3 linked regions of the Macaca mulatta genome follow. The main gene of each other region encodes a partner of the protein of the gene in region 3 in a complex. Links are inferred from orthologs where the notes say so. Each region holds a gene or a part of one and is shown on either strand. Other genes may lie near its edges. The genes, in order: WASF2, ABI1 and CYFIP1.

The links.
Region 1: CYFIP1 (region 3) and WASF2 share a complex: the UniProt entries of both Homo sapiens proteins name them as parts of the WAVE2 complex. The link is inferred for Macaca mulatta from reciprocal best matches to the Homo sapiens genes CYFIP1 and WASF2.
Region 2: CYFIP1 (region 3) and ABI1 share a complex: the UniProt entries of both Homo sapiens proteins name them as parts of the WAVE2 complex. The link is inferred for Macaca mulatta from reciprocal best matches to the Homo sapiens genes CYFIP1 and ABI1.

Annotation. Positions count from the first base shown.
Region 1 is NC_133406.1:213,457,595-213,468,544, reverse strand, and holds the start of WASF2 (actin-binding protein WASF2), read right to left. Parts: upstream 7,034-10,950; 5' UTR 6,850-7,033; intron 6,319-6,849; exon of another isoform or gene 6,211-6,318; intron 2,215-6,210; exon of another isoform or gene 2,074-2,214; intron 2,029-2,073; exon of another isoform or gene 1,900-2,028; intron 731-1,899; exon of another isoform or gene 606-730; intron 555-605; exon of another isoform or gene 414-554; intron 1-413. UniProt on the Homo sapiens protein: Downstream effector molecule involved in the transmission of signals from tyrosine kinase receptors and small GTPases to the actin cytoskeleton. Promotes formation of actin filaments. Part of the WAVE complex that regulates lamellipodia formation.
Region 2 is NC_133414.1:28,109,310-28,119,590, forward strand, and holds the end of ABI1 (abl interactor 1), read right to left. Parts: intron 9,354-10,281; coding exon 9,168-9,353; intron 6,279-9,167; coding exon 6,103-6,278; 3' UTR 4,420-6,102; downstream 1-4,419. Other genes in the region: all trans-polyprenyl-diphosphate synthase PDSS1, read left to right, coding at 3,865-4,005. UniProt on the Homo sapiens protein: May act in negative regulation of cell growth and transformation by interacting with nonreceptor tyrosine kinases ABL1 and/or ABL2. May play a role in regulation of EGF-induced Erk pathway activation. Involved in cytoskeletal reorganization and EGFR signaling.
Region 3 is NC_133412.1:1,423,408-1,433,739, forward strand, and holds part of CYFIP1 (cytoplasmic FMR1-interacting protein 1), read left to right. Parts: coding exon 1-38; intron 39-228; coding exon 229-330; intron 331-1,511; coding exon 1,512-1,693; intron 1,694-5,355; coding exon 5,356-5,452; intron 5,453-5,541; coding exon 5,542-5,670; intron 5,671-6,220; exon of another isoform or gene 6,221-6,705; coding exon of another isoform or gene 6,706-6,935; intron 6,936-7,083; coding exon of another isoform or gene 7,084-7,804; exon of another isoform or gene 7,805-8,237; intron 8,238-8,624; coding exon 8,625-8,729; intron 8,730-10,332. Other genes in the region: uncharacterized protein LOC144329802, read right to left, coding at 6,706-6,935, 7,084-7,804. UniProt on the Homo sapiens protein: Component of the CYFIP1-EIF4E-FMR1 complex which binds to the mRNA cap and mediates translational repression. In the CYFIP1-EIF4E-FMR1 complex this subunit is an adapter between EIF4E and FMR1.

The sequences.
Region 1 (10,950 bases), on a different chromosome or scaffold from region 3:
ACAACTGGGGCAGGGGGGTGCTACTGGCATCCAGTCATCCAGTGAGTAGAGACCAAGGATGCTGCTTAAGTATTCCTGGTCTGACCATGAAATGGAAGAGGAGCACACAAGAATGAAGCACAATACAGAGGCCATAATTAAAGCATTATTAGCATCTCACACCTGTAATCCCAGTACTTTGGAAGGCCGAAGTGGGCAAATCACTTAAGGTCAAGAGTTCAAGATCAGCCTGGTGAACATGGTGAAACCCCGTCTCTACTAAAAACACAAAATTAGGTCAAGCGTAGTGGCTCACGCCTGTAATCCCAGCAATTTGGGAGTCTGAGGCGGGCAGATAACCTGAGGTCAGGCGTTCAAGAACAGCCTGACCAACACAGTGAAACCCCATCTCTACTAAAAACACAAAAATTAGCCAGGCATGGTGTCACATGCCTGTAATCCCAGCTACTGGGGAGGCTGAGGCAGGAGACTTGCCTTGAACCTGGAAGGCAGAAGTTGCAGTGAGCCGAGATCGTGCCATTGTTCCAGCCTGGGCAGCAAGAGCAAAACTCCGTCTCGGAATAAAAAACAAAAAACCAAAATTAGCCAGGCATAGTGGCGCGTACCTGTAATCCCAGCTGCTACTAGGGAGGCTGAGGCAGTAGAATCCCTTGAACGCGGGAGGCAGAGGTTACAGTGAGCCGAGATCATGCCACCGCACTCCAGCACGGGTGGCAGAGTGAGATTCCATCTCATGTAACAACAAAAAAAAGGGGGTGAGGGGTCTGGGCATGGTGGCTTATGCTTATGCCTGTAATCCCAGCACTTTAGGGGGCCAAGGCAGCAGGATGGCTTGAGCTCAGTTTAAGACCAGCCTGGGGCCGGGCGTGGTGGCTCAAGCCTGTAATCCCAGCACTTTGGGAGGCCGAGACGGGCGGATCACGAGGTCAGGAGATAGAGACCATCCTGGGTAACACAGTGAAACCCCGTCTCTACTAAAAATACAAAAACTTAGCCGGGCGAGGTGGCAGGCGCCTGTAGTCCCAGCTACTCGGGAGGCTGAGGCAGGAGAATGGCGTGAACCCGGGAGGCGGAGCTTGCAGTGAGCTGAGATCCGGCCACTGCACTCCAGCCTGGGTGACAGAACGAGACTCCGTCTCAAAAAAAAAAAAAAGACCAGCCTGTGCAACATAGTGAGACCTCATCTCTAAAAAATCTTAAAAATTAGGTGGGCATAGTAGCGCGCACCTATAGTCTCAGCTATTTGAAAGGCTAAGGCAAGAGGAGGACTGCTTGAGCGTAGGAGGTTGAGGCTGCAGTGAATGAGCTGTGATACTGCCACTGCACTCAAGCCAGGGCAACAGAGTGAGACCCTGTCTCAAATAATAACAATAATAATTTTTCCCATTCCCAAGTCCAATCATACTCCTGCAACTCTGGATACAGCTTCTCATCCCTTGTATCTCCAAGACAGTGAAGGTACCATTCTTAGGAACTATGGAGCCACCCCAAGTAGGTAGATGAATTCAGGCCCTCAAACCAGGCAACTACGTGGTTTCTTAAAGGACAGAATTCCATAAATCCATGCTGTCATGGGGCTTTCTTCTAAAGAGAAAAAATAATTCTTCATCCTCCAATAATACCAGTCCATCTCACTCTACAGTAGAGATGTCCGAGAAAACTAAGAGTAGCCTGAGTTATTGAAAATGTGCTAGTAGAGGCCCTTGGCCATTTAAAGAAACCACCCAAATTCATATGGCTGGTAAACAGAAGTTTCTCATATAGCATACACTTAAAATAAAAATACTCAAAATTAAATGTATTTTAGTAAACTCCTTACACCAAGATGTGCAAATTGTGGAAGTTTCATAAATTAAAAGTAAACAAAATTTTGACCCAAATCTCATCCACAGTTTTTACCTCATACTATCTAGGCTGGGTACGGTGGCTCACACCTGTAATCCCAGCACTTTGGGAGGCCGAGGCAGGCGGATCACGAGGTCAGGAGATCAAGACCATCCTGGCTAACAAGGTGAAACCCTGTCTCTACTAAAAATACAAAAAAAAAAAATTAGCTGGGCATGGTGGCGGCACCTGTAGTCCCAGCTGCTCAGGAGGCTGAGGCAGGAGAATGGCATGAACCCGGGAGGTGGAGGTTGCAGTGAGCCAAGATCGTGCCGCTACACTCCAGTCTGGACGACAGAGCGAGACTCCATCTCAGAAAAAAAGAATACTCTAAAGGAAAAAAATCAGCTTTAAAATTTGGCAAACATGGCCACGCGCGGTGGCTAATGCCTGTAATCCCAGCACTTTGGGAAGCCGAGGTGGGTGGATCATCTGAGGTCAAGAATTTGGGACCAGTCTGGCCAACTTGGAGAATACAAAAATTAGCCGGGCGTGGTGGCAGATGCCTGTAATCCCAGCTACTCAGGAGGCTGAGGCAGGAGAATTGTTTGAACCCAAGAGGCAGAGGTTGCAGTAAGCCGAGACTGCACCACTGTACTCCAGCCTAGGCAACAAGAGTGAAACTCCGTCTCAAAAAAAAAAAAATTGGCAAACATGAATCTACAGATCTGCATTTGATTTGTTTTTCTCTGAATTATATGCAAAAAGTACAATTCTCTTAAATGCTACACAAAAAAATGATGAGCAAAGACCCTACAAATTACTATTTAAATAAGAGGTGGGGGCAGGGTGTGAAGTCTCACACTTGTAATCTCAACACTTTGGGAGGTCAAGGTAGGAAGAACACTTGAGGCCAGAAGTTTGAGACCAGCCTGGGCAACATTTCGAAAGCCCATCTCTACTGTTTAAAAAAAGAAAAAAAGAAAATAAAAGAAATAAAAATTTAAAAATTAAAAATAAAAGAGGTGGAGGGTGTCATTCTAACATTTCAGAGACCAGTGAAGATATTAAAAGATAAATTGTGGTACTTAAGGAAAAATGCTTATCAGGCACATTTTAATCACAGTAAGATTTCTGTATGACAGAAACAAAAAAAGGTGTCTTCTATGTAATATTATTTTTAGGACCCATGACTTTGAAATTAGCTGGGCTATACAATATTTTTCCTTGTAATTGCTCTTGTTATCATGTAATTTTGTTTGTTTTTTTGAGACAGAGTCTCGCTCTGTCTCCCAGGCTAGAGTGCAGTAGTGTGATCTCAGCTCACTGCAACCTCCACCTCCTGGGTTCAAGTGATTCTCCTGCTTCAGCCTCCTGAATAGCTGGGATTACAGGCGGGCGCCACCACACCCGGCTAATTTTTGTATTTTTAGTAGAGACGGGGTTTCACCATGTTGGTCAGGCTGGTCTTGAACTCCTGACCTCGTGATCCGCCCGCCTTGGCCTCCCAAAGTGCTGGGATTACAGGCTTGAGCCACCATGCCCGGCCTGTCATGTAAGTTTTTCCTATAGAGATCTAAAATCCCTTCACTTTATCTCCAAAATTCAAAGGCTGTGAAAAATAGGTTTTTCATTATTCATTTGGAGGCAAAACCTGACAAGAAATGACTTAAGGCTAATAATAGTGCAGTATTTATTTATCCCAGTTAGTATGAACATCCAGATATTTTACTACAGAAATAATAATGCATCTGATTTAAAAAGTGCTGCCCTGACCTCTCTGGGGTATTACATAACACATAGTATCATATTTATTTTCCAAAACCCAAAAATCCAAAAATTTTTAAATTTGGATATACATTTGGTCCCAATAACTTTTTTTTTGGCGCCAAGGATTTTGAATAAGGTACTGTGAACTGGTATACCAAGTAAGACTAATTATTTTACAGAAAATACAACACATTGAGAATTAATGTATTAATAGAGCTTCACGTGCAATAAATTCAGGGTCTTCACAACTATCATGTACACACAATCCTGGAAAATAAAGCATAAAAAGACTTAACATGTCAGGCCAGGCGCGGTGGCTCACGTCTGTAATCCCAGCACTTTGGGAGGCCGAAGCGGGCGGATCACGAGGTCAGGAGATGGAGACCATCCAGGCTAACACTGTGAAACCCCATCTCTACTAAAAATACAAAAAATTAGCTGGGCGTGGTGGCGGGCGCCTGTAGTCCCAGCTACTCAGGAGGCTGAGGCAGAAGAATAGCATGAACCCAGGAGGCGGAGCTTGCAGTGAGCTGAGATCACTCTGCACTCCAGCCTGGGCAACAGAGCAAGATTCTGTCTCAAAAGAAAAAAAAAGAAAATAAAAGACTTAACGTGTCAAAAGCCAAACACATTATTATGTGTTTTTCAAGTGATGGTGATATTTGCATCCTGTAATATCTAAATCAATTCCTTAGGTTGAAATCACAGTTAAAATACAGCCAAAGACTCAGTCGGGCGCAGCAGCTCACGCCTGTAATCCCAGCACTTCGGGAGGCCGCAGCAGGTGGATCAACTGAGGTCAGGAGTTTGAGACCAGCCTGGCCAACATGGCAAAACCCCATCTCTACTAAAAAATACAAAAATTAGCCAGGTGTGGGGTTGCATGCCTGTAGTCCCAGATACTTGGGAGGCTGAGGCAGGAGAATTGCTCAAACCCAGGAGGCAAAGGTTGCAGTGAGCCGAGCTCACGCCACTGCGTTCCAGCCTGGGTGACAGATATATATATATATTTGTTATATATAATACATATATTTTTATATATTATATGTATTATATATTATATACTATAAGTTTTATATATTTTTATATATAATATATATTTATATATTATATATAAATTTTTTATATTATATATTTTATGATATATGACATATTTATGTATTATATATAAATTCATATATTATTTATAATATATATTGTATATGTTACATATTTATATTTATATATATTTATTTTATATTATATATTTTTATTATATTATATATTTTATATATAAGACCGAATTAGTAATATGCTGAGAAAAAGAATAATCCACTGTAAATAACTTACTCAATAAAATGCTCTGATTTTTAAACAATTATTCTCAGAGGTTTTAAGATTTAAAATTATTTCATTCTAGAAGAAAACTCTGAACAAATTACAATTGACTTTTTCTATGAAAGTAGAGCCTGGGACATGGCTAGAGACAGGAACAGTTCTTAAAGATATTTGAACGGGAAAAAGAGTTTCACAGTTCTTTCCTTCCTTCCTCCTTTAGTTGCTGCTTTTCTGGTTTTAGAATTTCAAACAAAGAAATACATACTGGCTCCACTGCTAAGAAACGCCCTTTTTCTCAGCAACTTCCTCTTCCAGTTTTCTTCTCCACCATTCACATATGAGAACAATACCCATAGCCATTCCTACCATTCTGATTAATCAAAAGCTCTGAGGTTTGGAAAAATTAAGGGCAGCAAGTTATTGTACCCAACTACCACCTACCTCAGATCCACAATCTTCACTCTTTAGAAGTCAAATAACAGGTTGCACAAAGAAAGGGGTATTAAGCTTAATCAGAGGCGGGCTATTGAACCTTTCACCCCAAGAAATCCAAAGAAATTTGAACTAAAAAATGGGAAATTTCTCCCATCCCAAGAAAATGTGGCCCTCTGATGGAGGAGAAAAGTGAATGGGCTGGCACCACCCTGAACCAAAGTCTAGTCTACACACCAACAGCTGCTGAACTTTCTTCTACAGGCAACCCTACCAGGATTCAAATGGAGCTCTCTGAGGATCTGACACACTTCAAAGTGACTTTTACGACTTACAAATAGTTCTTTCCAACTTACAGACTGGATAAAGGGGCTGGACTTATAATTAACCTTCCAGAGATCAAGACTGTCCCCATGCCAGAAGTCAAATCACATACCTGGGGCCAGACCTCTGCCCCCATCTGCAACAAGGCAAACTTCCCTAACACTATCTTTTAAGTGGGCAGTGACTTCCCCCTTGCCTAGAGATTCTGAGAGGAAACAATTTAGTTAAGTAACCTCTGCCCTTTACTGTGTGACCTTGGGCAAGTTACTTAACTCCTCTGAAACTTAGTTTCCTTATGTGTAAATTCTCAAGGGTCACTGTAAAAGTTCATAGGCCTAAGCGAGGGTTGGCACCTAGTAGGGCTGCCATAAAAGTTCTTCCTCCTCCTTCTAACCCTCCTGATTTCTGGGCCTAAATTCCAATCAGAGCCCCAAGGGGCTCCAAGGAGTCCTTCCTCTTCTCTGGTTCTATGGACAACCGTATTAAAACTTCCCCTCTCAGAGGCTCTAGCGTTCCTGGAGAACCAAGAGGACCCCAACTCACCCCATCATGGTCTGGGTAGCACCCACGTCCTCCTTGGAATAGCCCCTTTAGACAACTCTCCTCCTTACTCTGCAGACCATCCTGTACGCGCACACACCCACACGCACTCTTACACACACACACACACAGTGCCCTCCTCCCGCTCCTCAATATTTAGCAGGTCGGGGCCTCAACGAGCACCTCAGTTACTTCGTGGTCCAGAGATGGAAACTGAGGCTCAGCCTGCGGAAGAACTTGTCCAAGATCTCAGACAACAGCTGGGACCCAACTCCTGTACATACATCTGCCAACGAAACCCTCGTTTTACACATGGGGAAACTAAGGCCTAGAGAGGAAAGTGACTTGCTCAAGATCACACAGGGAGCTGATGGCAGAACCAGGTCAGGTCGGGACACTCGTAGTCCCTCAGACTTGCGGACCCCTCCAAGTTTCGGAAGGGGACTCCGGGTCACTCCCTCCCTCCCTGAGGGGGTGGGGTGGACTAAAACACCACCCCGCGCTGACCACTCGCCCAGCCTCTGCCACTCCGCAGTGAGAGTCGCGGCACCCACTCCCCCGGAACCCTGCGGCTCGGGAGGAGCGGCCCGGCCGGGGCCCGCGCCTCCCGGCGGGGTCTACCCAAGGGGACTTGTTGCTCACCTGGCCTCCCGCAGTCGCCGTCAGCGACAGGAAAGGCCGGCCGGCCGCACAGTCTCCGCACAGAGTGTGCTCCCGCGGACCGCCTCGCGGGCTGCCACACGGCCGGACCCCCCTCAGCGCGCTACGCCCCCAGCCGCGCTCGCCCGGCCCGTGTCCGCCATTACGGTATTCCCCGCCCTGGGACGCAGCCACACCCCGCCAATGGCCCTGATTGGTTCACTGCCCAACCCACCCGGGGCTTCGGGGCATTCCATTGGCCTGAGTAAAATGCCAGTTAAATAACTACGCAAAAGACGTACTCACGGGTACCCTCCCCGGAGCTCCACCCGGGCGACTTCCGCAATCCGAGTAAACAGCGGGGTGCAAACCAAGTGAAGTGGGGGGCAGAGATTAAGGCAAACGGACTCCTAAGTTCAAAGTAGGGAAAACTCACCGAAGAGAGTGTAAAACCTCGTACAGAGTGTGTTGAAAGATTAATTCTTCTTGTTAGCCTTCAAAGAACCGCTATATTTGGCGAAAGGAAGGGGCCAAGCCCGTAAACTTTCTGTGGACACCCCTCAAGTTGCAGATGGTGTTGTCCCTTCACTCCGGTCTCAGCCGGGGCAGAAAGTAGGGTGGGGAGAGTGAGTCACAAGCTCTAGCCCGCCCTGCACTGTCCATGTGGGGTGAGGCCCGGGTGCTGGGAATGGGGGATAGTACTGAAAAGCCATGGTCAAAGTGAGCGGATCCCTGGTTGAGCCACTTCACTCTGCGACCTCAGACATCTTCCAGAATTTATCTGGGTCTCAGTTTGTCCTTCTGCAAAATAGGAGCAGTCGTCTGTGCCTCACATGCGGGAGTGTTTGTTGAGGATTCATGCATGAGTGGGGAATATGATCGTCTTGTTGATTATAAAAGGCTGCAGCTGGCCGGGCGCGGTGGCTCTGGCCTGTAATCCCAGCGCTTTGGGAGGTCGAGGCGGGCGGATCACCTGAGGTCGGGAAATCAAGACCAGCCTGACCAACTTGGAGAAACCCCCGTCTCTTAAAAATACAAAATTAGCCAGCCGTGGTGGCGCATCCCTGTAATCCCAGCTACTCAGGAGGTTAAGGCCGGAGAATCGCTTGAATTCTCCGCCGAGAGGCGGAGGTTGCAGTGAGCGGAGATCACGCCATTGCACTCCAGCCTAGGAAACTAGAGCGAAACCCCGTCTCAAAAAAAAAAAAAAAAAAAGGCCTGGCGCGGTGGCTCATGCTTGTAATCCCAACACTTTGGGAGGCCGAGGCGGGTGGATTACTTGAGGTCATGAGTTCAAGACCAGCCTGGCTAAGTGAAATCCCGCCTCTAGGAGGATCACCTGAGGTCGGGTGGTTGAAACCAGCCTGGCCAACATGGTGAAATCCAGTCTCTACTAAAAATACAAAAAATTAGCCGGGCATGGTGTCCCATGCCTGTAATCCCAGCTACTCGGAAGGCTGAGGCAGGAGAATCTCTTGAACCCGGGAGATGAAGGTTTCGGTGAGCCGAGATCACGCCATTGCACTCCAGCCTGGGCAACAAGGGCAAAACTCTGTCTCAAAAAAAGAAAAAAAAGAAACCCTGCCTCTATTAACGCAAAAATTAGCTGGGCGTGGTGGTGCGCATCTATGATCCCAGCTACTTGGGAGGCAGGAGAATCGCTTGAACCTGGGTGTTGGATGTTGCAGTAAGCCGAGGTCATGCCACTGCACTCCAGCCTGGGAGACAGAACGAGTCTAAAAAAAAAAGGCCGCAGCTAGATAGAAATGTGACAAATTCACACGTTAGCAAAGATACCTCACTTGGTTCTCTAGGGCAACTCTGTAAGGCAGATTATTACCCTCGTTTTTGCAGAAGAGAAAACTGAGTCTTCCTGAAGTTGCATGACTTACCCGGGGTCCTCCAGGGAATTTGAAACAGCCCCGGAACTCAAACCTGTATCTTTTGGTTTCCACTCCTGTATTTCTCCCTTTTCAGGCCTATTATCATATGAGAATGACTTCCCTCCCCTCGCCCCCCGCACTCTTCCCTCACGCATCCCTTTAGCATTCCAGGAAAGGTCTTAAGGGTGCCAGGCCAGTCCCTCATCTCTCTGATCAACATAGACTTGGGCACAGGCCACCCCCCAGCTATTGTTAACCATCAGGGTTCCTGAAGAAAAGTGACACTAGGGGTGTGCCCAGGCTGTTTCTGGGGTCCGAGGAGTCAGGACGTGAAAAGGGGGTGACAGATGGGTCGAGAACCTACGCAGAATCTCAAATGAGGATGGAGAGTCTCAGAGGGGGGCAGTGATGCCACTGTGAGCCCTCAGCAGGGCTGCCTCCATGCCAGGACTTAAATCCAGGTTTCTCTGCTCTCAGAACAGGCCTCTTTTCACCACAGGATTGTTTTTCCCAGAAGAGCTGCTTGGCTGTAATTCCTAGTCCTTTTCCCTCCCTGGAAAGGAAGGAGGCCAAGAAGGGAGTGGGAGGGGAAGCAGCCTAAGACTTCAGAAGGGCAGAGACAGCCAAGGGGGTGGTGCCAGCAGGGCCCTGGTGCCATCCGAATTGGTGTCCTCCAGGCTCAAACTGGGACATGTGGTCTGACAACCGAGGACTATTTAAATCCTGGCTGTGGCTGTTGGGTGCTGGGAGGCAGCTGTGCCGAAGGCAGTGGCTTTGGGGTTAGGCAGACCTGAGATCGAGTCCTAGCGCCACCACTCTCTAGCTCTCTGAGCCTCACCTACTTCTTCTCTGAAATGATTACAAAAGGGCAGTTGTGAGGATTCAATGAGTTAATTGTGGCATTAATGAGTCATGTATATAAAGTGCCTGGTAGCTATTTATTCATTCATGGATTCATCCATTCAGTGAAAAATTATTAAGCACCCACATCGAGGGCAGCCTGACAGTGGCGTAGCTACAATAGCAAGCAAAACAGACTCAGACCCTCATGGAGTTTAAAGTCTGGGAAGGAAGAAAGTTGTTAACCAAATGATCAGACAAATCAAAAACAGAAACTGAGATAAGGAAGCAGAAGGTAAAGTGCAATGTGTTTATGAGAGTGAATGTCAGGGGATGGGGTGGGGTCAAAGGAGACTTTCCTGAAGAGATGATGTCTGAGGTGAGTTAATGAATGGGGGTTCATTTGCTCTTTTTTTTTTTTTTTTTTTTTTTTTGGAGACAGAGTCTTGCTCTGTTACCCAGGCTACAACCCAGGCTGGAGTGCAGTGACACAATCTCGGCTCACTGCAACCTCCACCTCCCGGGTTCAAGCGATTCTTGTGCCTCAGCCTCCTGAGTCGCTGGGATTACAGGCATGTGCCACCACACCCAGCTAATTTTTGTACGTTTAGTAGAGACGGGGTTTCGCCATGTGGCCCTGGCTGGTCTCAAACTCCTGATCTCAAGTGATCCACCTGCCTTGGCCTCCCATAGTGCTGGGATTACAGGCATGAGCCACCACACCTGGCCTGGGGTTCTTGAATAAACTAGAGGTTGGGAAAAGTGTCGCAGGCCAAGGGAAATGGTGTGGAAAGGCATGGAAACCAATGGGGATAGTGGCAGTGGGGAGGAAGGGTGGAGCACTCAGGTCCTGTGGGCCACCAAGGAAAGTATCATGGTTGTTAATGAATGAGTGAGGATGTTACAGGGGAGGAAACTCAGCTTTGAAAGTGGGGGCTTGCCTGTAATCCCAGCACTTTGGGAGGCCAAGGTGGGAAGATCACTTGAGGCCAGGGGTTTGAGACCAGCCTGGGCAACAAAGTAAGATCCCCATCTCATTTATTTAAAAACATAATAAATAAACAAATAAAGTGGTGCTGTTCATCAAGGGTCTCTGTACTTTTCTTATAGTCCCTGAAAGAATGCAAGCTTTGGCCGGGCATGGTGGCTCAAGCCTGTAATCCCAGCACTTTGGGAGGCCGAGACAGGCAGATCACGAGGTCAGGAGATCGAGACCATCCTGGCTAACGCAGTGAAACCCCCGTCTCTACTAAAAAATACAAAAAAACTAGCCGGGCGAGGTGGCGGGCACCTGTAGTCCCAGCTACTTGGGAGGCTGAGGCAGGAGAATGGTGTAAACCCGGGAGGCGGAGCTTGCAGTGAGCTGAGATCCGGCCACTGC
Region 2 (10,281 bases), on a different chromosome or scaffold from region 3:
CATTTCTCTTCTAGACTACTTAGGAAATACTTTGTTTTAACTGGTCTTGGGTAAGGCACAGATATTAATGTCTGGTAAAAGGTACCTAAGTGATTCTGGTGAACTGTTAGTGTTGAAGCAGAGTGGTGTGGAACCAGCCTTCCCTGTGTCCATCAGCAGAATCACTAGGCCCCCAGTCACCCAGCCTCAGCCCCAGCCTCATCCGTGTCCCCATCCGTGACCCCATGCGGGCTGCAGCTGCACTGCTGCAATGGGCTACTCCTAATTGGGCTTTCCTAGTCTGTCCTACCTGTTATAAAAGTGTGACTAAAGACATGATCATTGAAAACAATTAAACCAACATAGGCAAACTATACATTTATACAAACATTTTTCTTTTAAAGGGAGAACCATTTAACCCTGTTTAGGGGCTAGTGGCTTGTTTTAAATATATTGCCACATATCTTCAGAAGCTTTCTGTGGAAGCCACATCTCTTTGCATGACTTGAGTTTTGGTGACTGACTCTCTTGAGAATGAGCCATTTCCAAGCTCACCATCATTTGCAGCCAACAGATCTCCTGGATGAGTCGGAGTGAGCAAAAACATTGTTACAAAGCAAGTGTGCCGTGAGATCCGTACTTAGTGTGGTACCTGAAAGACTTCCAAATAATTACCGTTCTGATTCTTAAAACATTTAAAAAGCAACCCCCAACGCCTAAAAGGTTATTTTTCTCTTTTAACTGACTATGCTGTTAAGCCTCATCATTCACTATGGGTTACTGGCTTTTTTGGAGAATGGTTTAAAAGTACTATTAAAAACTATGGGAGGGAGCTGGAGCTGATAAAAGTCAATATCCCTGGGAGAGGTTCTGGCTTCAGAAATAATGGTATTATTGAAAGCTGGAGTGGGAGGTGGAACTGAAAAGAGGGAAATTAATAGTAGCACCTATGGAAAATAGCAAAGTTCCAGCAATCCTAGCCAGAAACGCATTTAGGGAAAACAAAAATCCACGGGAATGTTCTCTGAACAAATTCTCCAAAATTCTAGCTCCCTGTTCACCCACATAGCTTCTAGTCCTATTCCCTCACTAAATGTGAATAGACAACTCAGGGTTACAAATGAGTTGACTAAAGCTTGCTGAACAAAAGAGTGGGACTAAAATAACGGGGGGGAAAGAAACTCAGGAAAAACATAAATAGGAGGATCCAAAAATATACCACATTCACAAAACAAGACAGGATCAGACTTTTTAAATGAGTAAGAGCAAGTTCTAAGAAACTGGAAATGACTGCAGAGCAAACTCCAAAGAACGTCTGCAATGTGAAATTGAGGAAATCCTCCCAAGTGTAAAACAGAAAGGGGGAAATAGTGAAAATAAGAAGAGCTACAAGGACCGGTGCCATCATGTAACAAGTATTTCGGGAAGAAAATTAAAAAGTGGTCACTTATGCAAGAAAAAGGTGTCAAAACTGGCTCAATGAATAGCAAAAATACTGGGTGCTAGAAGGCAGTGGAGGAAGGTCTTGCAAATAATGATTAAACATTTTAAACCTAAGATCCATTATATCTGAAGGCAAAAGAAAGTCACCACACATCGGGACTAAAACACTGACTTCCCATAAATACTTTTTCTATTTTTCTGAGACGGAGTCTCGCTGTCGCCAGGCTGGAGTGCAGTGGTGCACCGCGGCTCACTGCAAGCTCCGCCTCCCGGGTTCAAGTGATTCTTCTGCCTCAGCCTCCTGAGTAGCTGGGAACACAGGCGCCCGCCACCATGCGCGGCTGATTTTTGTATTTTTAGTAGAGACGGGGGTTTCACCATGTTGGCCATTGTGGTCTCGATCTCATGACCTCGTGATCCGCCCAGCTCGGCCTCCCAAAATGCTGGGATCACAGGCGTGAGCACCACACCTGGCCTGCGTGAACACTTTCTGGGTAGGTTATTTGCAGATGTACTTCAGCAAAATGTGTGGAAAACACTGAGAGAAGGCAGGCTTCTGTACAAAAAGGAACAGCAAACTAAAATGTGTCATGTTTTGAGCAATTGGTATAGAAAATCAGATTTCTTTCAACCACAGTGTTAGGAATATTCTATTTCTAAATGTCAGAGGGGTCTGGGCGCACTGGCTCACGCCTGTAATCCCAGCACTTTGGGAGGCCGAGGCGGGTGGATCACTTGAGGTCAGGAGTTTGAGACCAGCCTGGCCAACATGGTGAAACCACGTCTCTACTAAAAATACAAACATTAGCCAGGCGTGGTGGCACACGCCTGTAATCCTAGCTACTAAGGAGGCTGAGGCACGAGAATCCCTTGAGCCTGGGAGGCGGAGGTTGTGGTGAGCCAAGATCACACCACTTCACTCCAGCCTGGGCAACAGAGCAAGATTCTGTCTCAAAATAAATAAATAAATAAATAAATAATAAATGTCAGAGGGATCATGAGCCATGGAGAAGGAAACAGAATTATAGTATATGACTTGATTCTGCAGTAAATATTTTTACATCATAGAAATGATACTTTATTAGTATTTGGCTTTTAGAAAGAACCAATATTTTAAAACATGGTTACAGAATAGAATGTAAATATCCATAGTCTAATAGTATAGTTAAAGGACAGGACAGGAGCTCATACAAGATAAAATCAGAAGTTGATGCTACCTAACAGAAGCAATCAACAAAACAACTAAAGACAGCAGTGTCATGATCAGGAGGCACAATATGGGAGGGCTAAATCCTCATCTTAATAAAAAGGTAACAGATAATAACTAAAACTGGCAATCAAGAAATAAAAACTAGGCTGGGCAAGGTGGCTCACACCTGTAATCCCAGCACTTTGGGAGGCCAAGGTGGGCAGATCACTTGAGGCCAGGAGTTTGAGACCAGCCTGGGCAACAAGAGCAAAACTCCATCTCAAAGAAAAAAAAAAAAAAATACAAAAAAAAAAAAAAAAAAAAAATTAGCTGGGTGTGGTAGCTCATGCCTGTAATCCCAGCACTTTGGGAGGCCGAGGTGGGTGGATCACCTGAGGTCAGGAGTTCGAGACCAGCCTGACCAACATGGAGAAACCCTGTCTCTACTAAAAATACAAAAAAAAAAATAGCCAGGAATGGTGGCACATGCCTGTAATCTCAGCTACTAGGGAAGCTGAGGCAGGAGAATTGCTTGAACCTAGGAGGCAGAGGTGGTAGTGAGCCGAGATCGTGCCATTGCACTTCAGCCTGGGCAACAAGAGCAAAACTCTGTCTCAAAAAAAAAAAAAAAAAAATACAAAAATTAGCTGGGTGTGGTGGCATGCGCCTGTAGTCCCAGCTACTTGGGAGGCTGAGGCAGGACAATTGCTTGAACCCGGGAGATAGAGGTTGCAGTGAGCTGAGATCACGCCGTGCACTCCAGTCCGGGTGACAGAGTGAGACCCTGTCTCAAAAAAAAAAAACAGAAAAAGAAAAACTAATGGATAAAGTGAGTGCCTTTGGAAGAAAGGAACCTTTCTTCATAAACCCTCTGTACTTTCATTTTGTTATGTCTTTATTCTTTATAAGTTTTACTTGTGTTTTTTTTACATTTAAATGTATAACAATACTTTGTATGTAGAACTTTTGAGAAAGTCAAGTAAAAGGGGAAAATGGATGACCACGTAATATTGATGAGCTAGTTGTTTTGCATGCTAATAGAATAAAAATTTGCTTCAATATGAGAAAAAGGCCTAAAGGAAGTTAGCACTATGAGTCGGGAAAAGAACATTAGAGATGTAGTTTGACTGTTGAAACTGTAACCCTCAGCTCATCTGATCTCAAAACTATGTGTTCATTTATTATAGCAGGAAGTTAAAATGCTGATTCAGTCAGTGACAGGCATCTGCTCTGTTTTGTTCTGTATCTCGTAGAGTGATGGTGTGCAACAAACAACCTACCTCGCCCAGCAGTACTGCCATGAAGCAATAAGAGAGATCAGTAAACTTCGACCATCCCCAGAAAGAGATGCCCTCATTCAACTTTCAGAAATTGTCCTCACAAGAGAGAAATGACAACTCTTTCTGTTCTTTCTGGCAGCTATCTTACCAGACTGTGCCTAAAGAATTTTGTGGAATACACTTTGTTTGCTTCATGTGCAGATAACCAAAAATCATTTTAAAAGATATCAAACTTATTGATGGGCAATTTATTTTTTTTATTGCAAAAGTTTTTTCAGAAAACTTTTTAAATGTAATTAAACCATCTGAATCTGTCATTCTAGTCCTATAAATTATAATCGAGGTATCTTGATGGTTATATGTGGTATTGTTTACACTGTTAATATCCACATGTAAGGCCATTACACAAATAAATAATCGATGTTAAAATTCAAATGGTTTGTCTTGATTTACTGTGGGAGTAAAGATGAGAAAAATGTGAAGTCTGCATTGAAGTCCACATTAGTTATATTTTAACAGTATCCAAAGTTTCATATAGGAGAATGGTTTATTATAAAAGACTGTACATAAAATTTAGACAACAGGTTATATACAAATTAAGAGAACAATCCACTTCAAAAATGGAAAGTAGAAGGTAGCTAGCTGATCACTAATGATACTTTGTTTAAAATTAACAAAGGCAAAATGCGTATGAAATAGTCACATTGATTTGGTAGCAGTAATGGTCTTTAATTTTCAGAAATAACTGTTTTGCACTAGTCTTACCATTCACTATGGTGTTACAAGTCTGTAACGTCCAGTACATAACTGTAATTTGAATTCCAAACAAATCCTCAATAACACAGAAACCCACACTTGAGTGCTCTACTTTAATATCCTAAGCAATATAGAATTATACACAAGAAGAGAAAACATCCCTCAGCCCTCCCTTAAATTAAGAGGAGACACACAAAGTGCATGTGTTGCATTTTGATTATGTCAAAAGACAATACAAGTCTGTTCATTAGGTAAATCTCTGTTCACTGATTAATACATGACCCACCTTCTTTCCCAATTATTTTATTTTAAAATTCTAATGTTGCTAGTGCCAGGTAATGGATTAAATAGTGCCTATTCACAAATCAACTGTATCCACTTTTACAATATGTAAAAGGTACTTTTAACTTCCTTTCATTGAACCAGTGTACAACAGTCCACTGCAAAACTGAAGGACATGGCAATCCTTACGAATTTTACTTACAGAATGAATGCACACAATTTGACACATTTTCTTAGCTTCAAAAGATTCTTTAAAAAAGGAATTCAGTAGATTGACTTGTAAATAACCATTGCAGATTTTGAATCTGCAAAAACCCGTCACATTGCTGTTGGGACAGATTAAGATAAGGCTAAAATTTTTTTCCAAGTTAACATATTGAGAAAATAGAACCATAATTCTGCAATAAATCATTATCTTTTATTTTTTTTTTAAAGCAAACCAGTGAAGGAAAGGACAAAAACCTTTGGTTCACTTATGTATTTATGAATGGAAAAAATTTATAATGCAAATTTCACTCATTAAAAAACTTAGGTACAAATTACAACATTACAGATAATTCTCTTTTTGCTTCTTTTGTTTCACATGGAGACCCTTGGAGACTCAATTCATGTTAAGACACCTAAGTATGAGTCCTCCAGGTAAATATTACACAAATGGGAAGCATCTTGGAATTTTTAAGTATATTTCAATACATAAATTTTTATGCATGCTTTAAACAAACAGTATTTTTTTAAATGAGAGAATCTAACAAAAAAAGTCTGACCAGCACCAGCATTTAAATTTTCTGATTTTAATATTAGTCTGACATAGCGTTAGTAATCATGCTGCACTGAAACATGTAATGGTACAATCTGAATAATGATTTGTTAAATATTATACCCCACTTCCCCCAGAATATTTAGGCTGGTCATAAAGTTAAAAATGTGTAAGTAAGTACATAAGCATAATCAGTTATGGACAGCTTCTTGTATAAATTGCTATTTAGCAATACACAAACTGCCTCAAAGATTTATGCTTACAGGTAGACATTCAATTTACCAATAAAACAGCATGTTCTGAAAATATGGGCACATTTTAAAACATATTAAGACAGTTCTGTTAACCATAATTGTCCCACAGTATGACTGAGTAATAAGAATCTACTTTAAAAGCAAAAAAAAAAAAAAAAAAAATTAATCAGTATAGTGCATGATTGATTCAACATAGTTCCCAGGGAACAGACCAGTCACTCGATTGCAGACTCCTTCATACCAGCCATCATCATTCTTCTTTATAACATAAATGATTGCACCCTCCATAAATGACAGCTCATCATCCTTGTCTTTTGTATAATCATATATTGCAACAACTATGGAAAAAAGAGTTGAAATATCACATGAATGCACTATATCCAACATTTACTTGAATTTTAAGACAAAGCCAATTAAATATATAGCACAGCAAAACCATTTTTATGAAGATTTCTTAATTTTTGTATCTATCAATATAAGTAGGTCAGTGCCAACCATGTACTTATATCATTGGCTTAATCTAACCATGTACTTAACCATGTACTTATATCATTGGCTTAATTAAGAGTCAAATGACAATCTGATTAGACTGAACAGGTCAATAGGTTCTGTCAATCACTTTAAGAAAGCTCTCTGAACTTCAGAATTTATTAGATGTTTCAATTCATTCAAATACCAAGTGCCTATCATATACAAAGCACCGCTTTTCGAAATAATTATCAGGCAAAGCTGCATAGCCATTCAGTAAACCAGGTAACAACCCAAGCTATCTAATTTGAAAATACACAGTCACTGGAAGGTAAATCACATCCTACTCATTCAAGGACCCATGCTAATTTAAGGTACTGTTCCCAGATTTTTTAAAAAGAATATTTACTTACTTCAAAGGATTTTAATTAATATTTAGAGAACGTGGCAATTCTGTGGTGTCTGTAATTCTTTTCAGTTCAAGATACAGGTTGAGTAACCCTCATCTGAAATGCCTGGGATCAGAACTGCTTTGGATTTGGGTTTTTTTTCCAGACTTTGGAATTTTACATATAGGTAATGAGATACTATCTTGGAGATGGGATCCAAGTCTAAACACAAAACTCATTTTTGTTTCACATACACCTTACACACATAGCCTGAAGGTAATTTTATTTTTCCCTTGGGAACACTGAATAAACTGTGTCATGTGCCTGCGTTCTGACTGTGACCCATCACATGAGGTCAGGTGTGGAATTTTCCACTTGCGGCATCATGTTGGAACTCATTGTGGATTTTGAAGCATTTTGAATTTGGGACTTTCAGATAGGGATGCTCAGCCTATATTCACTTCCTTTGCAAACTGCTGTGGAAAGCAATCTAAAGTGTATCATGGCCCATGGACAAATCCAAACCACTGCATTTTTTGTAAATAAAGTTTTATTGCAATATGGCCACATCTACTTACTCATGTACTATGTCCTCTTTTACGCTACAACAGTAGGACTGAGTAGTTGTGACAGAGACTGTATAGCCAGCAAAGTTTAAAATATTTACCATCTGGCTTTATACCAAACAAAGTATGCTCACCCCTAGTTCTTGGGAAGATACTTTTTAATCCTCTACTATCAAGTATATTACCCGATATGTCATTCCAAATTTGTCAACTTCTATAAATATGGTCCCATTTTCATAATTAAATTTGCTTTACCAAGAAAGAAAATATGGGTAAAAACACAATTCAAGGCCACTCAAGTTTATCATCCTCATAAGTAACAACAGCTCTCTATTTGAAGGTATATGGGAATCTAAAGTAGAATATTTAAGACTTTCTTAACAATATGTAAATTATTTACCGTTTAAAAATATAAGGCCAGGAGTGGTGGCTCACACCAGTAATCCCACAACTGGGAGGCTGAGATGGGTGGATCACTTGAGGTCAGGAGTTCAAGACCAGGCTGGCCAACATGGCAAAACCCCGTCTCTACTAAAAATATAAAAGTTAGCTGGGCGTGGTGGCGGGCACCTGTAATCCCAGCTATTTAAGAGGCTGAGGCAGGAGAATTGCTTGAACCCGGGAGGCAGAAGTTGCAGTGAGCCAAGATCGCACCACTGCACTCCACACTGGGAGACAGAACAAGACTCCACCTCAAAAAATAAAAAAATATAAAAGGAAAACAAATTTACTTTTGCCACATATCCAAAACTTGGGCAGGAAAGAATGCTGCTGGTCTCAAGAGCTACAGCTACTTGCTTAAAGACTGTTAACCCAATAAAGTCAATAGAAGGAAATCTATCAAAGGCAACCAAAAGTGTTCAACTAAATTACAAGCATTTTTCAGAACTCTATAGAAATACAGATTTGATTTTATTTTTAATTGATTCCCATTTCTGCAAAAAGAAATACAGATTTTAAAATAGCACAGAACTAGATGAAAAAATAAAAACTAGAAACAGGATTTGTTTCTTCCCCACCTATATTTCTTAATAGATAATTACAGTGAATATTGGGTACTGTAGGTAAATTACGACTTTATAGTAGTTCATAGTTTCATGAAATATAATCCTGGTAATTTGTCTTCTCTTTTATAAAATCACCTGACACCTTAATTGAGGCTTTTCTCATGATAGTACTAATAAATTTTTAAAGACAGATGCTCCTCCACTTCCATATGATGGGGTTATGTCCCAATAAACCCACTGTTTAGTGGAAAATATTGTAAATTGAAAGTACGTTTTCAACCTATAACTTACATTTTTTACTTATAACAGGTTTATCCAGACAAAGCTACATCATAAGTTGAGAAGCATACTGAATGCATATCATTTTTGTACCATCATAAAGTTGAAAAGATCCTAAACTGAACCATTGTAATTCAGGGACCATCTATATTTAGATATGAAAGGTCATCAACAGAGCTTGACAGAACTTTTAAAATCTTTACTAATTACATATAACTCCATTTTTGTGCCTTAGCTGTTTCATCTACAAAATGCCATCCAGCAAGTTAATCTTCAGCTGAACACATATGTAGTTTGAAAGCAAATCTAACACTGCAATTTTAATTTAAAATACAAAGAAAGAATCACCCTGTACACTGGGAATAATACAAAGCTTAGGAAGTAAGGTTTAAGTAAATCATCTTGGCTGGTAAGGCAGTTTAAAAAGCTGAGAAACATTGGACTAGATGTTCTTTATAGTCCTAAATTTCTACAATTAGGTTATATTCCTTCACATCAATTCAATTATTGTACCTTACCTTTCTCAATATAATTCTTGGGGGCCCAAGCAGGATCCCCATCTGCATATGGATCATTATACTGAACTACTGCAGCCTCCTCATCTTCATAATCCACTGGAGGTGGTGGTGGGGGAGGTGGAGAGTCATCAAACATGGGAATGTCATCTGGTGGAGGTGGTGGCGGTGGAGTTGGACTATCAGCAACTAAAAAGATTCATATGATTGATTTGAATCACAAATAAGTCTAGATGGAAAGTTATAAGTTAACAGAATTTAAGAAAGCTCTAACTTAAGTACAGCATGCACTATAATAAAACATGCAATGATTAGAAATAAAAGCTTGGTGTGTTAAAGTTTATGCTACTCAAGAATCATTTAAAAATAACAAAATGAGCTAAAAATAAGTGTATCTGGAAGTATTACAAATTAATGAATGCAGGGTGTTAGGAGACAATGTCTCTTTTTATAAGGATTATAGGAGTAGTTTCCTTATTCCAAGGTTCAGATCGGGACAAATGTTAACAACCTAAACTAAATCTATGTCACTTTTGTCATTTGGACTGCAGTAAACGATATGAGTAACATTACATTAATGGTTTGATCACTTTTCACTCTGCTCATTCATGCCCGATTTTGGCTTGAAACAGCTTTGGTTCCCTAAAAATTGAGTCTCCCATGGACAGATTTTTGTTTCTTTGCTGATTATTGTTTGTTTTGATGGAGAGAAAGTTAAAGTTGGTGGTATTAGGTCTGCTTCTGTGTATAGATTTTCTACTCTGTTATTTACATTTTACAAGTTGAAAAAATGGAAAAAGAATCCCCAACCAGTAGAAAATCTAATTGAATATTTTTTAAAATGTTTATATTCATAATCAGTTTTTTTGTAGAAAGCAAGCTAAAATTTTGCGTTATTGCTAGTAAAACATAAGCACGGGATGAGGGCAAGCCTAGATCCTAAAGATTCAATTTTCTAAGAATACATCAACAATTAAGATTTAAACATAAAGTGTTGAAGATGTAATTAAAAAAACAAACAAAAAGAAACTTATAGTAAACAAAACAATAAAAATGACTCATACCTCAAACTCTAGATGGTCGTGGTCAGTATATATGTGTGTGCTTTACATAGTCA
Region 3 (10,332 bases):
TGTACACCTGGAGGAGCTGCTCCCGGGCCATCCCGCAGGTGCCCTGCTCGCCTGTCTCTTCCCTCCCCACACCCTGCCGTGCCCCACCCCGCCCCGCCCCTGCAATGCCTGGCCACTCTCCTCCCGGGTCTCACCCCACAGCAGGGCGGGATCACCAGCTCTAGCTGCCCAGCAGCTGCTTCTGGCTGGATCCAAGCCTCTTATGTCATCCTTGTTTCTTTATTCCAGGTGAAATGTAACGAGCAGCCTAACAGAGTGGAAATTTATGAGAAAACCGTGGAGGTTCTGGAGCCTGAGGTCACAAAACTGATGAATTTTATGTACTTCCAGGTAAAATGGCAAAATCCCTATCTTGGGGGTGTAACACCGAGGGGTGGGTTGCTGACACCTTCCTACCCATCGCCGTCAATGTGAACACCCTGAACAGAGTGCCTGCAAATTAAAGCAACCAGTTTCTGAGACAAAAGGGACCAAGCCTTTGACAGTCTAAAGTTTCTCACGCCCTTTTGGAATCAACACTCCTTTTGTGGTTCTCAGAATTCTCAGTGATTTCATGTTTCCTTCACGGAGTCTGCTTTCTGTCAGTTTCAAGTACAATGCTTTGACTTTCTGCCAGTTTGTACTTTCTTTTTTGAGACGGAGTCTTGCTCTGTCGCCCAGGCTGGAGTACAATGGTGCAATCTTCGCTCACTGCAACCACCGCCTCCCAGGTTCAAGTGATTCTCCTGCCTCAGCCTCCCGAGTAGCTGGGATTACAGGCGCCCGCCACCATGCCTGGCTAGTTTTTGTATTCTTAGTGGAGACAGGGTTTCACCATGTTGGCCAGGCTGGTCTTGAACTCCTGACCTCAGGTGATCCACCCATCTTGGCCTTCCAAAGTGCTGAGATTACAGGCGTGAGCCACCGCACCTGGCCAGTTTGTACTTTTGATTCATCTGGTCTTTCAGGTATTTTCTTGCTGTCAGCCTCACCCTGACTGTCCATTCCTGGTGGTCCTCGCCCTGGCCTTGATTAGGCAAGAAGCAGCCACATGAAAGGGGTCTGCTGCTTTTTAAAGAAGTATTTTGGAAACATCCAGATTTTCTATGATGTCCATTAGCAGAGGGAGGAGATGGAACTAACTAGGAGATTAATTTTCATTTTACCTTGAAAGTTACCAAGAGGAAAAAAATCTCTCCCACTTTTCACTTCTGAAAGTTAGAACGTATGAATTTTGCAGACGTTTTCTTGGATCATTTTGCTCAGTAATTTTGCTGGAATAATCAGCAAGATGTTGTTACTTTAGTGACGTAGTTGGTAAAGTGCAAAACGAGTAACGACGTTGCAGAGCAGGCCGTCGGAGCTGCTTTCAGGAGGGGGTCTGGCTGCCCACATTGTAAACACCTGGGCCCGAAGCCGCGCGGGGCAGATTTTTCTCATCAAGGAGCAGTGACTGCAGGTGCTTGAAGCAGGGACATGGGCTTGGCCCCTCACTGACCTGCAGCTTTCTGCCCCCCGCTTCCTCTGCACAGAGAAACGCCATTGAGCGTTTCTGCGGGGAGGTGAGGCGCCTGTGCCACGCCGAGAGGAGGAAGGACTTTGTGTCTGAAGCCTACCTGATCACACTGGGCAAGTTCATCAACATGTTCGCTGTGCTGGACGAGCTGAAGAACATGAAGTGCAGTGTGAAGAACGACCACTCAGCATACAAGAGGTGAGCACCGGCCCCGTGCGCCGTGGGCCTTCCCGAGAGCGCGCAGCTCAGTGGCCCGCCTCGTGCGTAGCAGGTGTGTGTCTTTGTGTGTTGAAGTCGTCACTTCTGGTAGGCAGCGGCTACTTCTCGGTGTCAGGGCTGTGGGAGCACCTGCTCTGGGGGATAAAGTGAGGGGAGCCAGCAGGTAAGTGCATATCATGGCTTTGCAAAGCTAGAGCAGACTCTTAGTGCCCTGGCTGTCCTTCGATGTCACGGAGGACCTTCGCGCCCCTGGGAAGACAGACGTGCACAAGCTGTAGGCCTAGCTCACAGAGCACAGGCATCTGGCTCAGGGAGCATCTTGGCAAGGGGGCAGGTGGCCTCTGCAGCCCACCTTGGGCATTGGGGCTGCAGTCCTCGGTGCCAGTCTCTCGCCGGTGGGGGTCCCCGGCACCTGAGCACCATCCAGCAACGTGCAGACGTAGCCCATGCACAGTCACAGGGTGTCTTGGGGTCACACTGCGTTTCCAGGTCCTCTCCCCGGCGGTTTTCTTTTTGGATGTAGAGAGCTTCTGGAGAAGCTAGCCTCTGGAGAGACCGGCAGGAGGGATGGAAGAGGCGGGCATGGCCCGGCGTGTGCTTCCGGAGGATTGTGGGGTGGTGGGCGGCAGACAGGCGTTCGGGGACACACGGCGCTGTCTCCTGATGCTCTGCTTCGTTTGTGCCCGGTGCTTTTGAAGACATGTTTTGCTGGAATGAGATGCTAATTTCAGTTTCCTCTAGTAAGTAAGGCATCTTAGCTCTAAAATTAAATTCGAAGAGACCTTACTTTGCATCTGAATACGCTCTAGTTATGTTGCATTTTAAATCATACAACTGTTGTTATGTCTTTATAAAAAGAAAAATCCCCACTTGGGACAAAATGAGGCAGCAGTAGGAGTCAAGCTAGGTCAGGCAGAATTTAAGCCTCATTCACGTGAACTAAGGCAGTGTTCCGTTATCACTAAAATCGTCAGCTCTGCACAGAAGCCTAGATCTTCAGAACTAGAGAAGGGTCTCCGGAGTGGGCCTGTGAGCCCCTCTTGGGGCGGACGTCTGAATGGTCCCTGTTTGATGACAGCATCCGTGGGATTCCAGCATCGAGGCTCACTGGTCGCAGTGGCCTCCTGGTCCCAGCCGCACAACCCAGTCGCTGTGTGATTTTGAGCAGCCTTCTTAGCCACCACCGTTTTGGCTTTGTCAGGGAAATGGGGAGGTGGCCAGCATCAGTGGTTTTCAATATTTAAAAGTTGTGGGGTTTTTTTTTCCTTTTAGCACTAGCACCTTTATTCTAAAGCCTAGTCTGTAAAACAGTTTACAGATGGGGCCGCTGTGTGCAAAGCTGGGAGAAGGAGGGTTTCCCCTCCAGCAGCCCCGTCCCCAGTGTCTTCACCACCTCCAGGTTCCCCTGAGCACCAGAGAGTGGGCCTGGGCCAGCTCCGTAGCTCTTCCTGCTGCCTCTTCTTCTGACCTCTGTCTGGGACCCCTGTTGGTTCACCCTCCCAGACCATCACCCCCACCCCTCCCAAGACGCCCGCCACACACACACGCACCTAGCTCTTTTGGCACCTGCTGGTAGCTACTAGTATAACCTCCTCTAAGTGCCAATGCCAAGATAACTCGTGTGGTTATGGTGAGGCTTGAGGAAAATAGAAAACAGTATCCTTGACTGTTTCCTTAGTCTCCTCACCTGCCGCCTCAGCAACTACTCAAATCAATAAAGCAAACGTGGCGAGGTGCGATGGCTCACACCTGTAATCTCAGCACCTTGAGAGGCTGAGGCAGAAGGATCACTTGAGCCCAGGAATTTGAGACCAGCCTGGGTAACATAGCAAGACCCCATCTCTTAAAAAAAAAAAAAAAAAAAAAAAAAAAAAAAAAAAAAAGACAAAAGCAAAAAAAACTAGCTGGGTGTGGTGGCGTGAACCTGTGGTCCCAGCTACTGGGGAGGCTGAGGTTGGAGAATCACTTGAGCCCAGGAGGTCGAGGCTGCAGTGAGCTGTGATTGTACTACTATACTCCAGCCTGGGTGACAGAGTGAGACCCTTTGTCTATTTAAAAAAAAAAAAAAAAGGAAACATGTTTTTGTTGTTGTTGTTTGTTTGTTTTGAGGCAGAGTCTCACTGGCCCAGGCTGGAGTGCGGTGGCACAATCTCGGCTCACTGCAACCTCTGCCTCTCCTGGATTCAAGCAGTTCTCCTGCCTCAGCCTCCCAAGTAGTTGGGATTACAGGCGTGAGCCACCACACCTGGCTAATTTTTGTATTTTTAGTAGAGATGGGGTTTCACCATGTTGGCCAGGCTGGTGTTGAACTCCTGACCTCAAGTGATCCACCTGCCTCTGCCTCTCAAAATGCTGGGATTACTGGCATGAGCCACCATGTCCGGCCGGGAAACATGTTTAAAAAGCCAAGGAATGTTACTGTATCAGTAACATTAGGTTTACAATATTAAGTTTAACTGTATGCAATTGTTTAAAACCCAGTGAAGTAACAGTGGCTTTGAAAAGATTGCAGTTTATTTCTCTGTCTCCTGGAAAGTCCTGAATGAGGTGGTCTGCAGCTGATTGCAGGCTGTCCGGCGTTCAGGACTCGAGGCTCCTGTTGGCCTGCTGCTCTGCTTCAGGTGTTGCCTCCTGGTTCTAGATGGTTGCTGAAGCTCCAGCTGTCATTTCTGCATTCCAGTCAGCAGGCAGAAAGGAGGAAAGATGGGCTCCATGCTCCCTTATGAGTAAACTTTGGAGTGCCTGTCAGTGTCTTGCATTATATCTCATGGCCCCAGTCCTTGGTCACGTGACCACAGCTAGCTGCAGGGTAGGCGAGGTACATGGAATGTGTGAGGCTCCCTGGAACGTGTGTTCCACAGGAATGCGGGGCTCATTCCTAAGGAGGAAGAGGAGGAAGTGATTGTTGGGGTAGGTTATCAGTCTTTGCCATGGTGACTTTTAAAGCTAAACCCCCAAGGCTCTGGGTTGCACAGACCTATCCTTGTGTGGGCCGTTTCCACTGAACTTTCTTGGGGGACAGCCCTAGATGATGGGAATCCTCACACCCCACCTTCACCCTGCTCTGCCAGACCTCGTGGGCTCAGCATGGCCTTGTGGTATTGTATGTCGGGTGTAGCTACAAATTGGTGGCAGGCCAGGGCTCTGTCTCAGGACTTTGGGTACCAGTGGTCCCTGAGGTGGCCTGGGGAGCTGTGGTCCAGAGGGTTCCCGGCAGAGAACCTCAGCAGTGCTGGCCATCTTCATGGCAGGGCTTGTGGGAGTCACGGAGATGGCAGTGGCCCTTCTTAGACTTGGGGTCCAGCCAGCCCTGTGCCCCCCTAGATGAGGTGGGCATCCACCAGTGAAGGGCAGAGACCAGTGTGCAGGGACCCTGCAGGAAGCCCATCGGCTGTGACCAGCAGGGTGGAGAGCTGTCCCCAGCTGTGCAAGACACGTCTAAGTTGGCAGAAGACTGACCTGGAGGGCAGGGCCGGAGACGCCTGAAAAGGCTGAAATCATCGCCAGCGTCAGAGGTTGACCCACATTTCTGCAGATGACTGTAGAGGAAGGGGATCCCACTCGAACCAGGCTTTTATTTTTTTTATCTTTTTACGTGGCACATAGGTGCATTTTGGGATGAACTCTTCTTGTTTTCAAAGGGCCGCTCAGTTTTTACGTAAAATGGCAGATCCACAGTCCATCCAGGAATCGCAGAATCTGTCCATGTTCCTGGCCAATCACAACAAGATCACACAGGTGAGGCTGGTGTTCGCACACTCGGGCGGATGGGCCGAGCCGCTGGCCGGGCGCCGGGCCCGTGCGTGAGTCTCTTGCTTGTGTTTCAGTCTCTGCAGCAGCAGCTCGAAGTGATTTCTGGCTACGAAGAGCTCCTGGCAGACATCGTGAATCTGTGTGTGGATTACTACGAGAACAGGATGTATTTGACGCCCAGTGAGAAACACATGCTTCTCAAAGTACGTGTGTGGGGACGCCAGCCTGTGGCACTGCTGAGGGACAGCCTTACTCTTGTCAATAGGCTGTGCTTTTCTAGAATCCTTTTGACAGCTGTGTCTTACTTGCACGGTGTCTTGTGTGTGAACAGCGTTCTGCCCTTGCCCACAGCCTGCACAACAGGCTCTCAACACACCCCACGAGTGTCACACACTGACCCTGGGAGAAGGTGCTGGCCAGGATGTCTGGGTCAAGGATTCTCTCAGCATTGAGCTGCTTTTTGTTTTATTTTTGAGGCAGGGTGTTGGGCTCTTGCCCAGGCTGGAGTGCAGTGGCATGATGACAGCTCACTGTAGCCTCAACCTCCTGGGCTCAAGTGATCCTCCCACCTTGGCCTCCAAAGTAGCTGGGACTACAGGTGTGCACCACCACGCCTGGCTAATCTTTAAATTTTTTGTAGAGGGAGAAAATTGCCATGTTGTACAGGCTATCTCAAACTCCTGGGCTCAAGTGACCCTCCTGCCTCAGCCTCCCAAAGCTCTGTGAATACAAGCTTGAGCCACTGTGCCCAGCCTTTTTTTTTTTTTTTTTCTTGAGACAGGGTCTTGCTCTTTCACCCAGGCTGGAGTGCAGTGGTGTGGACACAGCTCACTGTAGCCTCGACCTCCTTGGCTCAAGTGATCTTTCTGCCTCAGGCTCCTGAGTAACTGGGGCCACAGGCACTTGCACCAATGCCCAGCTAAGTTTTTGAATTTTTGTAGATACGAGATCTCACTTTGCTGCCCAGGCTGGCCTTGAACTCCTGGGCTCAAGCCATCTTCTTGGCTTGTCCCCCCGCAAAGTGCTGGGATTACAGGTCTAAGCCACCACACCCAGCCTTTAAGCTGCTTTGTGACAGCTTAAAGTTAACTTAAAGAAGTTATCCAAGATTCTACTTGTCAAGCATGTGATTCCTGGGACTCTGATACCTTGTGTCACCATAATTAAAGTAGCCTTTTGTTGGTTCACCATATTCTTTATTATTCTGTTCAAATGAAGAAGGTTTCCATCTGCATTTCTCACGGGAAAGATGGTCGGCAGTTCCACCGTTCCCTTTGCTCTGCTCTCCACCTCTGCAGGGTGGCCTTGGGGGACCCTTTGCTGGGTGTCCCACCAGCCCAGCCCCCAGCCTCCTCCTGAGTAGGAGAGCACTGGGAGGCATGCAGGGCTGAAGGAGCACTGTCCATGAGCAGGAGATCATTGGGAGGCACGCAGGGCTGAAGGAGCACTGTCCATGAGTAGGAGAGCACTGGGAGGCACGCAGGGCTGAAGGAGCGCTGTCCATGAGTAGGAGAGCACTGGGAGGCACGCAGGGCTGAAGGAGCGCTGTCCGTGAGTAGGACAGCATTGGGAGACACGCAGGGCTGAAGGAGCACTGTCCGTGAGTAGGAGAGCACTGGGAGGCACGCAGGGCTGAAGGAGCACTGTCCATGAGTAGGAGAGCACTGGGAGGCACGCAGGGCTGAAGGAGCACTGTCCGTGAGTAGGACAGCACTGGGAGACACGCAGGGCTGAAGGAGCACTGTCCATGAGTAGGAGAGCACTGGGAGGCACGCAGGGCTGAAGGAGCACTGTCCATGAGTAGGAGAGCACTGGGAGGCACGCAGGGCTGAAGGAGCGCTGTCCATGAGCAGGAGAGCACTGGGAGGCACGCAGGGCTGAAGGAGCGCTGTCCATGAGCAGGAGAGCACTGGGAGGCACGCAGGGCTGAAGGAGCGCTGTCCATGAGCAGGAGAGCACTGGGAGGCACGCAGGGCTGAAGGAGCGCTGTCCGTGAGCAGGAGAGCACTGGGAGGCACGCAGGGCTGAAGGAGCGCTGTCCGTGAGCAGGAGAGCACTGGGAGGCACGCAGGGCTGAAGGAGCGCTGTCCGTGAGCAGGAGAGCACTGGGAGGCACGCAGGGCTGAAGGAGCGCTGTCCGTGAGTAGGAGAGCACTGGGAGGCACGCAGGGCTGAAGGAGCGCTGTCCGTGAGTAGGAGAGCACTGGGAGGCACGCAGGGCTGAAGGAGCGCTGTCCGTGAGCAGGAGAGCACTGGGAGGCACGCAGGGCTGAAGGAGCGCTGTCCGTGAGCAGGAGAGCACTGGGAGGCACGCAGGGCTGAAGGAGCACTGTCCATGGAGTGCTTTGTGACAGCAGAGACTTTGGGTCTGCACCAGCTGGTGTGGGAGCTGTGGCCGCCAGGTCCTGTGGAGCACTGGAGTGTGCAGGTGGCTAGTCTACATTAAGAATTTTTAGTTTGTGACCAGGCACGGTGGCTCATGCCTGTAATCCTAGCACTTTGGGAGTTGAGGTGGGTGGATCACTTGAGGTCAAGAGTTCTACACCAGCCTGACCAACATGGTGAAACCCCATCTCTACTAAAAATACAAAAACCATTAGCCAGGCGTGGTGGTCATGGGTGCCTGTAGTCCCAGCTACTTGGGAGGCTGAGGCAGGAGAATCACTTGAACCTGGGAGGCAGAGGTTGCAGTAAGCTGAGATGGTACCACTGCACTCTGGCCTGGGTGACAGAGTGGGACTCTGTCTTAAAAAAAAAAAAAAAAAAAAAAAGAATTTTTAGTTTGCATACACCGAAACGTAACTGGTTACATGTGACTGCATATTGGACATTACTTTTAATGGCAGAAAAACCGCAATTACTTTTACACCAACCTAATAGCCCTAGAATAGCCCTACTGCTTGTGTGAGTTTAGGGTAGAGGATTTGTTTTTTCCGCTTTTAGCAACTGACCTGGAAGCCCAGCCCCGCTTTGTAGCAGTTTCACTGAGGATAAAATGATGCATTTCAAGCACCAGACAAGCAGCCTAAATATAGATCTTTATGATATATTTCAAATTGTGCCTTTGAAATCGTCAGCTGTAACAGTGTAAGTCCTTACGGGTAATTAAATTTGCAGTTGTGAGCTTTATTGCATCATTCATTTTGTGGCTTTTCAGGTCATGGGATTTGGTCTGTACCTGATGGATGGGAGTGTCAGTAACATCTATAAGTTAGATGCCAAGAAAAGAATAAACTTATCCAAAATTGACAAGTACTTCAAGGTGAGTTACATGGTTTTAGATCAATGTTTTTATTGATTTGCATGCAGTTTGAATTTTGGGGAAGTGAGCCCCTGTGTGACCATGATCTATATCAGGAAATGCTGGGGCTGGGTGGAGTCTGGGCCACGCATGTTCTCCTGTCTGCAGAGGCAACCGCGCTTTGTCTTTCCTTCTGCCCGGTGCTGGTTTTGCCTGGGTGGAGCTTTATACAGATGGAATTGTGCTATTTTACTCTTTTGTGTCCGGCTGCTGTCACCAGCCTCTTGTTTGTTAGGTGCATCCTGGAGGAAGCCCATAGCTATAGCTCATAGCTTTCGGTTGTGGTGTAGTTTTCTGTCTCACAACCACACCGTAACTTGCCCGTTCCGATGTTGGCGGGCTCTCGGACGTTCCCGGGTTTTGGTGAGTCCAAACAGTGCAGCTCTGGTCGACTCTCCTCTGTTGGGTGCATACCCAGGAGAGGGACCGGAGGTCACAGGGCGTATCTGTTTTCAGTGTTAGTAGTTACCTGTGGCCTGATGACTTTCCAGCATAGCTGTCCTGATCTGCATTCCCATCAGCAGTGAGAGAACGCTCTGGGGGTGCCACATCCTTGACAGTACTTAGCACTGTCTTTTTTGGGGTTGGGGGACATCCTGAGGATGCATACATCATTGGGATTGTAATGGCTAGTGTTTCATTGTAGTTTAGTTCACGTTTCCCTAATGGCTTTCCATGTTCTTAGCGCGTTCCCTTTGTGATGCGCCACTTCAAGTCTTTGCTCTTTTTTCCCTATTTATAGTTATTTATATATTCTGGATACACGTCCTTTGTTGGGCACAAGTGAGTATTTTTGTTTGTTTTGTTTTGTTTTTGAGACAGGCTCTTGCTCTGTCATCCAGGCTGGAGTGTAGCAGGCCTTGGTGATTCCTCCCACCTCAGCCTCTCAAGTAGCTGGGACTGCAGGCGCTTGCCATCACACCTGGCTAGTTTTTAAACTTTCAGTAGCAATGAGGTCTCCCTATGTTGCCCAGGCTGGTCTCGAACTCCTGGCCTCAAGCAGTCCTCCAGCCCTAGCCTCTCAAAGTGCCGAGATTACGGGCCTGAGCCACTGCACCTGGCCTTACGTTTTAATGTACATGTATTCTCCCCAAAGAGGCTTACCCTTTCACTTTTTCCCAGCTTTATTGAGGTGTAATTGACAAATAAAAATTGTATATGTTTATGGTGTACAGTGTGATGTTTTGATACACATACACATTGTGAAATGATGAATTCAAGCTAATTAACATGTCCATCACCTCACACGCCATTTTTTTGTTTTGTGATGAGAACACTTAAGATCTACTCTTTTAGCATATTTTAAGGATTCAATGCGTTGTTATTAAGCGTAGCTCCCGTGCCACAGGTGAGGTCTTCAACACTTACCGATGCTGCGGAACTGAAACTTTATACGCTTTGACCAATATATTCCCTTCCTCCCCCGCCTCCAGTAGCCTTTTCGCGTTCTCAGTGGTGTCGTTTGCTGAACAGAAGTTCATAATTTTAGTGTAGTCCCATATATGAGTCTTTTCATTAATGTCCACCTAAATCAGTCTTTGTGGCCATCCAGCTCATGGGACGT